Linked DNA regions of Ovis aries. The main gene of each other region encodes a partner of the protein of the gene in region 2 in a complex. Links are inferred from orthologs where the notes say so. Each region holds a gene or a part of one and is shown on either strand. Other genes may lie near its edges.

Evidence for each region.
Region 1: the proteins of ITGA2B (region 2) and ITGB3 are in contact, whole or in part, in a cryo-EM structure (PDB 8GCE), measured with the Homo sapiens proteins. The link is inferred for Ovis aries from reciprocal best matches to the Homo sapiens genes ITGA2B and ITGB3. Residues at the interface, in NP_000410.2 of Homo sapiens: Gln49, Phe52, Arg72, Trp141, His143, Asn145, Glu152, Ala153, Glu154, Lys155, Pro157, Arg184, Phe191, Tyr197, Glu199, Phe202, Pro217, Tyr221, Phe222, Phe262, Asp263, Tyr265, Tyr268, Thr290, Trp293, Thr294, Gln315, Met316, Ala317, Tyr319; in NP_000203.2 of Homo sapiens: Ser188, Pro189, Tyr190, Tyr192, Ile193, Ser194, Pro195, Pro196, Tyr204, Asp205, Met206, Arg242, Asp243, Pro245, Lys279, His281, Ile282, Ala283, Leu284, Asp285, Arg287, Leu288, Ala289, Gly290, Val292, Gln293, Pro294, Asn295, Asp314, Tyr315.

What each region holds. Positions count from the first base shown.
Region 1 is NC_056064.1:46,050,013-46,055,771, reverse strand, and holds the start of ITGB3 (integrin beta-3), read right to left. Parts: upstream 3,411-5,759; 5' UTR 3,293-3,410; coding exon 2,920-3,292; intron 1-2,919. UniProt on the Homo sapiens protein: Integrin alpha-V/beta-3 (ITGAV:ITGB3) is a receptor for cytotactin, fibronectin, laminin, matrix metalloproteinase-2, osteopontin, osteomodulin, prothrombin, thrombospondin, vitronectin and von Willebrand factor.
Region 2 is NC_056064.1:43,920,160-43,925,707, forward strand, and holds the start of ITGA2B (integrin alpha-IIb), read right to left. Parts: upstream 3,938-5,548; 5' UTR 3,906-3,937; coding exon 3,718-3,905; intron 2,223-3,717; coding exon 2,101-2,222; intron 2,011-2,100; coding exon 1,913-2,010; intron 1,807-1,912; coding exon 1,638-1,806; intron 1,362-1,637; coding exon 1,312-1,361; intron 1,235-1,311; coding exon 1,189-1,234; intron 1,096-1,188; coding exon 970-1,095; intron 599-969; coding exon 551-598; intron 403-550; coding exon 359-402; intron 247-358; coding exon 193-246; intron 71-192; coding exon 18-70; intron 1-17. UniProt on the Homo sapiens protein: Integrin alpha-IIb/beta-3 is a receptor for fibronectin, fibrinogen, plasminogen, prothrombin, thrombospondin and vitronectin. It recognizes the sequence R-G-D in a wide array of ligands.

The sequences.
Region 1 (5,759 bases), about 2.1 Mb from region 2:
CCTCCCAAGAATCTGATGATCCCTGGAACCCCGTCATAAACACTGGAGTGAAGAGGGTGTGAAATATAACCGAAACTGCTTTTGCTCTCAGCTCCGTTCAGTCGTGTCTGACTCTTTGCAACCCTTTGGACTGTAGCCTGCCAGGCTCCTCTGTCCATGGGATTTTTCAGGCAAGAACACTAGAGTGGGTTGCCATTTCCATCTCCAGGGGAATCTTCCCAATCCAGGGACCAAACCTGCATCTCCTTCGTCTCCTGCATTGCAGGTGTATTATTTACCCACTGAGACATGGAGGAAGCCACTATTACTGGGGGTTTATTACTTTGGAGGTCTTCTCTAGAATCCATGATCTTTTGTCCTTTGTTTTTTATTTTTATTTTTGTTGTTGTTGTTTTTGTGGGTTGTTTTTTGGACACACCTCGCAGCATGGGGAACTTCCCAACCAGCAAATTTTCCAGACCAGAAATCGAACCAGAACCCTTCGCAGTGGAAGGATGGAATCTTAACCCCTGGACTATCAGGGAAGTTGCTTAGAGCCCATCCTCTTTTTAAATTTATTTATTTGGCTGCACTGGGTCTCACTTGAGGCATGCAGGATCTTTAGTTATGGCAAGTGAACTCTTAATTGCAGCATGTGGGATCTAGTTCCCTGACCAGGGACCAAACCTGTGCCCCTTGCAATGGGAACCCAAAGTCAGCCACTGGACCACCAGGGAAGTCTCGAGCCCATACTCTTAAATACGACTCTACCCTGCCTCTCAATGGTTCTCTGGGGTTAGCTAGCTCAGCACAGCCCATCACCACTCTGGAATCACTCCAATCACAATGATGAACCTGTGAACAGATCCCCAAAAGAATAATTCATGTAAACTTAGGTATGTCAACACAGTAGAATCCTATACAGATCATTACAACTGTGTAAACCAGATCAACAAAAAGTATACTAGAAGTGAGGGGTGGAGAGAGAGACAGCAAAATAAAAAATGCACTCTTCATCTTCACCAGCTGAACCAAGTACCATGCTAGACTCTATCTCATATTATCTTACTTCTAAAACTGTAAAAATACATAATGATTAAATTCAGAAATCATTCAGAAATTCAGAAAACTGTAGATGTGAAAAGAAAGTAAAAAATGTTTTAAGTTCACGGAAGCAGGCATCGCTGCAGGAGAACACCTAGTTGCCTCCAGACTTCTCCATTCAGACAGCATCCAAACCAAGGCTCTAACTCTCCCTGGGTGGAATGCTGGAGATTCATAATTCTGGGCCATAGTCATCAGGCCACTCACTGCAGGCTAAAGACATCAGTTGACTTCTTTGAGCATCTACTACATGGGAAGCCTCTGCAGCAATAACTTAAACAGCCCCCTATGTATTATCTGTAACTCCTTCATCAAATTGTGGATTATAAATGGTGAGGATCTCATGAGTGTATACTTATCTCAAAATTCAAGTCATATACATTAAATATATACAGCTTTTAAAATGTGGATCCTACCTCAATAAAGTGTTTTTTTTTTTAAGATATTGTTGCCCTATCCTGGACAATCTGTTATGCATACAAGAGTCTTAAAGGAAGTCATCGAGTATTTCCTGATGGATTTAGCAATAAATCTTAATCTTCCGTAGGATCTAAATTGTCTTACCATGAAAATGTGAAATTGAAAGTCACTCAGTCCTGTCCGATTCTTTGCGACCTCATGGACTATACAGTCCATGGAATTCTCCAGGTCAGAATACTGGAGTGGGTAGCCTCTCCCTTCTCCAGGGGACCTTCCCAAACCAGGGATGGAAACCAGGTCTCCCACATTGCAGGCAGATTCTTTACCAGCTGAGCCACCAGGGAAGCCCAAGAAAATTGGAGTGGGTAGCCTGTCCCTTCTCCAGCGGATCTTCAAGACCCAGGAATCGAACTGGGGTGTCCCGCATTGCAGGCGGATTCTTTACCAACTGAGCCCTCAGGGAGTACTACTTACCACGAGTACTACTCTTTTCACTAAAAGTAGGTATACGCACGGACGCACTTGTGCGTCCTCTGCAGAGAAACGCCGCAGTGGACCAAGAGAGAGTTCTCCCTGGGGGGGTCACCCGGGTACCAGAAAGACCACGGGCAGCAACCTGGGCTGTGCCCCTCCCAGCACCAATGAGGCCGAATGCCAAGTGCCCTGGCAGCTGATAGTGCGTGTGCGGCAGCAAGAGAGACAAAGCCAGGGAGCCAAGCCAGCTCCGGGGACCCCTGGCGTGGTTGTTCGCACACAGTGGAGAGTGTTCGGATGCTGGGTTTGTCCCGGAAGCGGAGGCTACTGCCCCCACCCTGGGACACTGTAGGAGGTAGCGCTCTTGTCCTCCTCCGAATCGCTCCCGCGGGGAGCCTCCAAATAAAAACTAAACAAACAAAAACTTGGGATAAAGTGTACACAAAGAGAAAGAGAAATGTCGAGTAACTGGTAAGTCTGCGCGCACACGCTCTCATTTGAGAAGCGACAACCGCATCCCTCTGCAAACGCGGGGGAACAGCCCCGGGAAGCTCGCCCGGGCTCCGGAAGCCACCCTGCCTTCGCACGGCCGGGACCACCTGCGAGGCGCGCAGCCGGGACTGAACTCGGGGCTCAGAGATGCGCCCACCGCGCCGCTCACGTGGAGATGGCCCGGGACAGCCGCCTAACTCGGCTTAAGAGTTAGTTGGGTGTCCCGGTGGACCCGCCCGTAGGTTGTGGCTCGCCCCGGCCGCAGCGGAGCCCGGAAGGTCCCCAGCTCCGACGGCTCCAGCCTGGCCCCGCGCACACTGAGCGCAGAGGCGCAGGACCCACCCGACCGGCTTCCCCGCTCCGCGTCTGCTCTGTACACTCGGCCGCGGCAGGACGCGCGGCGCGGCTCACCCGAGACCTGGGTCCCCACCGCGCGGGAGCCCCACTCACCTCCGACGCCGACGCCCGCCAGCGCCCCCACCACCAGCACCGCGGCCCAGAGCCGCCGCGCTCGCATCTCGTCTGCCCGCCGCCGCGCTCCGTCTCGGCAGCGTCCTCCCGCCCCACAGCGAGCGGCGGCGCCCGCGGCCGCTTTTCCCGGGGCCGGAGGGGAGGGGACGCGGTGGGTGGGACGCAACGGGGCGGGCCGTGGACTGGCGCTCCCTCCCCTCCGGCCCTTCTGCGGACCCTCCACCGCAGGGTGGGAAGTGGGAAACCGCCGCTCCTCTCTGCCGCTGCGACTCAGCCCGCGAGGATCGCCTTGCGGGTATGCGAGGCAAGACTGGGACCCCAGGGAGGTCGAGGGCGCATCCTCCGAGGACATCCTGGCCCCAGGGTCCGCATCGGGCCCTTGGTATGCTCAGAAAAGCCAGGAGCCTGTGGTCTCTCTCTTCGGAGACACCCACACGGCTTTCTCTTTCCCTAGAGTTCCTCGGGCACCTGCCCTCTGTACCCTGACTTTTGGTCATTGATACGTTCATTCATTTAATTGCAAACCTGCTGAACGCCTACTCTGTGCCAGGCACCGGTTTAGTCTTTTATTATTCACTAATATTTATCTTGGGTTAGTTTGGTTTTCCAGTAAACAGTAAGCCTCTTGAAGACAAGACCGCATCTCAAGCTTGTGCAAGCACTTGATGTCCATAAAAGACCTTTCTCTGCAAATAGATGCTTGCACAGAGTAAGCACCTGATGAACATTTCAAGACAGTCTGCACTGCACTCAAATTCATAGGCTTTGGAGCTTTATCTTATTCTCTTCAAAGGCCTCCTGCCTCCCTGAATTCCTACTTATGGGTCTCTGGGTCCTCCACAAACTAGAAACGTCGGGAAGCTCAAAGGGGACATTGCTAGGACTATGAGCAGGAGGCCACCACAGATAGGGGCTGGTGCAGGCTGCCTCAATAGGAAACTCTAAGGATAATTAAAAACAAGGCCTGAGGACTTCTATGGGGGTCCAGTGGTTAGGAATCTGCTTGCTAATGCAGGGGCTTCCCTGGTGGTTCAACTGATATAGAATCTGCCTGCAAAGTGGGAGACCTGAGTTCAAACCCTGGGTCAGGAAGATCCCCTGGAGAAGGGAAATGCTACCCACTCCAGTATTCTGGCATGGAGAATTCCATGGACTGTATAGTCCCCATTCCATGGACTATACAGTCCATGGGGTCTCAAAGAGTCAGACACAACTGAGTGACTCACTTTCACTTGCCATTGCAGGGGACCTGGGTTCGTTCTCTGGTTCTCTGGTCCAGGAACCAAGTTCCCACATGCAGCTAAGCTGGCATCCGGCAATGACTGAGCCCTGGAGCCCTAGAGCATTGGTTCTGCAACAGGAGAAGCCACCAATGAGAAGCCCACACAATGCAACTAGAGAATAGCCCCCTCTTGCAAAAACTGCAACTTGGGATAGCCATACTCAGCAACAAAGAGTTGTGAGCCAGAGCAGCCCAAAATTTTAAAAAACGAAGAAAAGAAAAAAAGCCCTGAGGCATCAGGCAGGATTTGGAGTCTCTCCAGCTGTTGGGCTCCTCCAAAGCCTTCCAGGCTGTCTTTGGGCTTCCCTAAACCCTCTCCTGAAATGCACAAGATACCTGGAAACTGGCCCTGCCTCAGGTCTCTACCCTCATCTCCCATCCTAGCTCAAAAAGATATGTAACACTCCCAAACACTCCTCGCCTTTCTGTCTGACTGATCTTACTTCCTTTTTCCACCTGGAAAATTCCACTTAATCTTACAAAACATCTCAGATGTCACCTCTTCCATATAATCATGTCTGATTCCCCACCCCTCTTCCTTCTGCCCAGCCTCAGCAGAGATAGGCATTTCCTCCTCAGACCTCCCAAACACTAGGAAAAAGAAGAGCACACATCAGTAGAAGTGTCATTAGTAATTTGCAAGGAGGCAGGGGAGGAGCCACCCACAAAGGGTCGCTGGGCTTCCTGACCTGAGCTTCATACACTTTTCCTAAATGCTGGAAGGCCTCTAGGTCAGAAGCCACTTTAACAGTGTTGCCATTGCCCTGAATCAAAATCCAGATTACACAGGTTTCATCTCTGCCTAGATGTTTACCTATTTGGTTCATTCTCATGTATGTAACAATGGCACCCCACTCCAGTACTCTTGCCTGGAAAATCCCATGGATGGAGGAGCCTGGTAGACTGTAGTCCATGGGGTCGCGAAGAGTCAGACACAACTGAGCACTTCACTTTGACTTTTCACTTTCATGCATTGGAGAAGGAAATGGCAACCCACTCCAGTGTTCTTGCCTGGAGAATCCCAGGGACGGGGGAGCCTGGTGGGCTGCCGTATGTGGGGTCGCACAGAGTCGGACACGACTGAAGTGACTTAGCAGCAGCGGCAGCAGCAGCATGTATATAAACCATCTCCCATTCACCTAGGTGTCTCCCCAGCCTAACTCTGCTGGTACCAACCACTAGGGGTGGACACCAGTCCAGCAAATATGCTGTCCAAGTTTCCAATCCTTTCAGCCTGAAGAACTATCTTTAGCAGACTTTAAAGGCAACAAATATGCTCAGAGGTAAAGAACCTACCTGTAAACACAGGAGACTCAAGAGACCCAGTTTCGATCCCTGGGTCGGGAGGATCCCCGGAAGAAGAAAATGGCTACCACTCCAGTGTTCTTGCCAGAAATCCCATGGACAGAGGAGGCCTGGTGGGCTCCAGCACATGGGGTTGTGAAGAGTTGGACATGACTTTGTGACTAAAAAGTAAAATGCTCAACTTTTATTTGTTCCATTCTCATTTTTAATGATATTTCTTATATAGAGATTT
Region 2 (5,548 bases):
GGCGCCTGGCTTCTCACCCATCCCCATTGACGTCCGTGACGGCCACTGAGTGCCCAAAATATGAAGCCATCTGCAGGAAATGGGGCACACCTTAATTTCTGTCCTCATACTCACACTTTGATCCCACCCTGTCTCGTGGAATATTCCAGGGTCTCAATTCCCTTGCCTTGGCCACCCCCACCTGATCCTCACCTGCTCTCCATGCAGCCGGTGCAGCATCTGGTGGTACGAGTCCAAAATTTCCACCTGCTCAGAAAACGTACAGGAGCATGTCACAGGGCAGGAAGTTTGGAGGCGGGGGCGGGCACGGTTCAGGCTGAAGAGTGAAATGAGTGAGGGGAGGACAGACGGCACTCACCGCTCCCAGGGTCCAACTCCAGGTGGGGGCACCGAAGACATACTCTGGGGAGAGTCGGGACCAGAAAGTGAGGTCTCTGGAACCCCCACCTGCCTCCTGCCCGCCGTTCCGCATCCCAGGGAGATGCCGGTCTTGGAAGTGCTCCTTTCCGGGCGGGACTCCCCAAACCCCACCCCTAAGTGAATTTCTTGCCTGTAGTGTTGGGATTTCCGTCGAAGTCGCCCACGGCCACCGAGTACCCTGAAGGCACAGTGAGAATTAGTCCTTCAGGGAGGGTGAAGCAGGGAAGGGGCCCGAGTGAGAACGGAGGGGACTCAGAGACCACCCAGTTCAAACTCTGCATTGCGGAGACGGGGAAATCGAGGCCACCGAGAGGTCAAGACCTGCCCGAGGCCGCGAAGCGAATTCAGCTCGAGAAGTCGACATGCTCGCCTTTGGGAGCTGGGCTGTCTGCAGAGGGTAGGGAGAGGGAGCTGCCTGAGCAGAGTGGGGGCGCCTTAGTGCTGGGGCTGGCCAGCCAGAGTTGACAATGGGGCGTTCCTACAGGGGTAGGACAGGGCTGGCGGTGACGCTTGAGTGCTGGGAAGCCTCGATGGGAAGTGCCACGTTACCCCGGTAGCCGTCGTAGTATTGTAAGTGACTGTGGTCGTAGGTGAACTGGGTGCGCACGTGCCACAAAAGGTTGCCTGGGCGGTAACTCGAGATGATATCGGCGATTGGAGCCCGCGCCAAGAGACCTAGGGCACGTGGGACAGTTAGTATGGGCGTCCAGGAGCCTGGAGTGTGCCCGGGTCGAGAGAAGGGAGGGAGGTGTACGGATGGGCACGTACCTACGAAATAGTAGCCGCCAGGAGCCCCAAGCACCAGCTCCCCAGCCTGAAATAGAAGCTCTGAAGGTGAGAGAGGGCCCTGTTTGGGGGGCAACCCCCACGCCGTTTATGCTCCCTACTCGCCTGAGTGACTACCGAGCTGAAGCCGGCTTCGCAGTAACGCCTGTCCTCTCCTAGAGAAGGCAAAAAGAAAGGGTCAGCGAAGAAGCCTGCTCTGACGAGTGGCGCCGGGCCGGGAGGCGGAGTCAAACGGGGGCGGGGCCACAGGGTAATACGGAGGCGTGGTCTACTATCAACATCCAGTGGGCAGGATATGGGGGTGGAGTCAGGAACTAGGCTATCTGGGAGACCCCAGACTGCAAGCAGGATTTGGGAATGATCGGGTGAAGGGCGGGGCTAGTGGATAACGGCCGCGAGTGGGCGGAGCCGAAACGGAGAGAGGAGCTCACTGAAATGATTTCTCTCGTAAAACTGGCTCATTTTGTTGGCCCGGCAGGGCGAGTACTCTGTGCGGTCGCCGTTTTGGAGCTGAGCCACGAAGCAGCCACCTACGGGGGTCTTCTGAGCCTCCTCCTCGTTCCTATCTAGGACGTTCCAGTGCTGCCAGGGGGCGCAGGCCTGAAGCAGAGCCAGAGGAGAGTGGGGAAGGGGCGGGACTCGGGTTCCTCCCTCCACGTGTCCCCGCCCTCCGTCTGCTCCCTGATCCCGGTCCGGTAGCGCCCACCACAATGCTGTCTCTCCAACTAACGACCGACGCCCCGAGTCCTTGCCCGGCCTTGAAGGTTTGGAAAGTTTGGGTGCCTATGCTTTGCGTTTCATCATCTGGAGGGCACAAGAAGAGAGTAGGGTGCTGAAGCCCGGCTGTCCGCGCTCCTTGTATCCCCTCCCTTTCTCTTCTTGTGCGAGACTCACAGAGGTTGAAGGGCAGCGAGATGCACTGGCCACCCTCGGCCTTCCAGGGGCACAGGAAAATGCCGCCGGTCTCCTCCTCGCTGCGGCCCAGGGTCCGTGGGGCGCCCACCACGATGGACACACTGCATAAGAAAGCTGGGTGAGAGCTCCGTGGATTCTGGGGTACCCCGTGCCCCAGTGCCTGTGCCGGGAGCACTCCTCGGAAGGGCGGTGTGCCTTGAGGGTCACTGGATCTTTTCCCAGTGAGACGACACAGACCACAGACGCCAATCTTTTCATTTTATGGCCACTGAAACTGACTCCCAGCGAGGAAAGTCACATACCCATCAGTAACCGAGGAAATTAAGGATGAAACAGAATATAACCATTAGGTTCGATTTGAACACGAGGGGTTTGACAGCCTTGCTAAAAGAGATCTCCTAAACTCTGTACACCGTCTACATTCCCCAACACTTGCCACGAAAAGCCAAGGGTTTACATGCACCGTGTTCCTGTCTAAACTGTCATCAGATCTCTTTCTGAGAACCAGTTTTAATCAGGAAATATTAAGCTAGTGGGCACCCGTAAAGTGGGTGGTGGGGTGCTGACATTTCTAAGGACTCTAGTAGATCTAGGTTCAAATGACAGCTCTACTGTATATAAAAGGTGGACAATACCAATCAATGCTGTCAGAAGTAAATGAAATAAACACATGAAAAACATTTATGCCAGTGCCAGCCAAATAATACATAACGAGGGCTCCAAAAATGCTGTAATTTGTTTTTCTTTTTAGTTTGCAGGATATTTACTAAGTAGTGCCCATGAGACCAGTATCTATGAAAAGGAGGAGAAAGAAGCAGGAGCAGGCAGGGGACATTGAGTTGAGATTCGGACTGAATAACAGCCATGGGTCAATGTCCTGGGAACTTTGGAGGGAGAAAGACCCTCAGAACTGTCTGGAGTTGAAAGAGTCAGACCGTTAACCTCTCCCCTCCCTCCACACTCCTCATTGACTGGTCATTGTTCCTGGGCCACATTTGGAAGTGGGGGAGCTTTGAGGGAGGTGGCCCTCTTCAGCAGAAGCAACTCCCCAAGGTGCTGACACTTAAAGTTCATCTGCTATTGTTATGCTCTGAAGCTGGACCTTGGTGTCCATCTCAATAAGGAACTAGCTCAGGGTTGTTGCTATAGAGAGAAAGAGCCAGGACTCTAATTTTAGCAGTCTGAATTTGCAGCCTGATGAATCCCAACCAATAATGCTCTATTGCTTCTTTTCAAATATCAATCGTTTTGCTGGGTTGAGGGGATTGGAATAGAAAGCAAAGTGGGAGTAGACAGACAATTTCACAGTTCTGCAGGTCAACTTAAGACATGTGCTCCTTTCTGTATTTCAAGGGGATGAGGGTGGAGTGGGTCATAAAACTGACCCTTGAGGAAAAAATAAGGCATCAACATCGGTCTCCCCTTTGTCTTTGCTCTGCTCAGCTCCCCACTGGTGCCTCTTGCTGACACCCTGGTATTCCTAACAAGAACTCAGCCCAAATAGACCCTGGAAATAAGTTTGCTCAACCTCTATCACAAATGGGGAACTCAAGACCCACAGAAGCAGTGATGGTGGGGGAGTTTCCCAGGGCTCACCTCCTATTGCTGTTCTTGTAGAAGTCCAGTGAAAACCCAAAGTGGCTGCCATTAGGGCCTGTGTAGATGGTGAGCTGCACTGAATCCAGGTTCAAGGCCCAGGTTGGAGGCACAGCACCAGGTCCCAAGAGCAGCTGCACCCACTCCAGAAGCCAGAGGGCACGAAGTAGACACAGAGCTCTGGCCATCTTCCTTCTCCCACAGCCTCCTAGGCAGTAATGGGTTAGCAGCTTCCCCTTTCAGTTCCACCGCAGGAAGTCTTTTCTTATCAAGCTGAAACCTACTTGCTGACTAGTAGGCAGAGTCCTGGGCCATATGGTTTCTAGGGTTGTTGGGAAGAGGGTAAGTCTACCCTGGGGGTGGATGCTTATGGCTGAAAGCCAATTCTTCCCTTTTCTTGAACGTATTTTATCAAGTCCTGCTGGTTCTGCTCTTCAACAATGTCTCTTGAATCTTCATTCCATTTCTTCTACCACCATGCTAGTCTAAACCACCACTGCTTCCTGCTTGGGATAGTGCAACACGCCTCCACTCTAGCCCAGTTCTACAGGTCCTCCTCCCCCCACACAGTTCCCTGCACTGCCAAGGCACACTGTGACTTGGTCAGAAGTGGGGGAAGGAGCGAGGAAGCTCCTGGCCCCTGATAAGACCTGAGGCTGCTGTATCCTTAAAAGAATAAGGCACTTATCCACTTCCTCCTTCTAGGACCTTTGGCAGCTTCAGTCAGTCATATTGGCACAACAGCTTCCTCGCTCATCCTCCATCTGGGGCCAAGTCTTAATGTGGCGCAGCAATGTAGCCAGTGCTGGGGGAGGGGTGGTGAATGGATCCTGGCTGAAGGGAGGAGATGGGGATAAAGTGGAGTCATCCCAGGGTGTTCTGGCTCACAGGCTTGGAGATTTGCACCAGCTGTTCAGTTGAAGGCAGGTCTAACTCCTTGGGTGACAGAGCTCTTGTCCAATCAGTAAGACTTGATTCTAGTGGGGTCATTGCCTAGGAGATGCCACTCTCAATTCCTCGGGCTGGCACTCTGGGGTTCACACACAGGGGTGCGGCACTGATCACACTGCTTTGTCATGGTCTGTTCACTGGATTTTGTTCACGGGTCCCTTGAGAATGAGGGTCCTTTCTGGTGCCCCAGGACCTAGCCAAGAGCCCATCATACCGTAGGCATTGCTGACAGACTGAATAATAGCAGGCACTGAGGACTGGAGGATGCAAATGCAGGCTCCCACAGAGGAAAGAAAAGGAATAGTTTTGAGCAGAAAGGGCATTTTTTAACGGATGTTCAGAGGAAGAGGAGTGCCAAGCAAGTCTTACTGGCACTGCATTGTCTTCCCAAAAAAGCAGGTTGTCAGGAAGGAAATTTAAGAGATCTGCTGGGGTAAAGAACATAGTCACATTGCTTTTGCTCATATTTTCTTTTTAAATATTTTATTTATTTGGCTACATTGGGTCTTAGTTGCATCATCTGGCATCTTTCCTTGTGGTGCACGGACTCTGCAGTTGCGGTGTGGGATCTTAAGTTTCCCAACCAGGGATCGAACCCAAGTTCTTTGCATTGCAAGGTGGATTCCACTGGACTACCAAGGCTGTTAAATTTTCTGATCAAACTTAACCATCATCTTATCCCGCCCAACTCCCCAGGGCCCTTCAGCACCACCTTTGTCCTCATAATTCACCTCCTTTGAGCACATAGCTCAAAATCCTATCCCTTTCTAGGTTAGAGGCACCTTGAACTTTAGTCTGGGCCTCCTTCACTGCTGAATTCCCAGTGCCAAGCTCACGGCAGGCACGTAATACTTAGTCCTGTACTTACCTTCCACCCTCC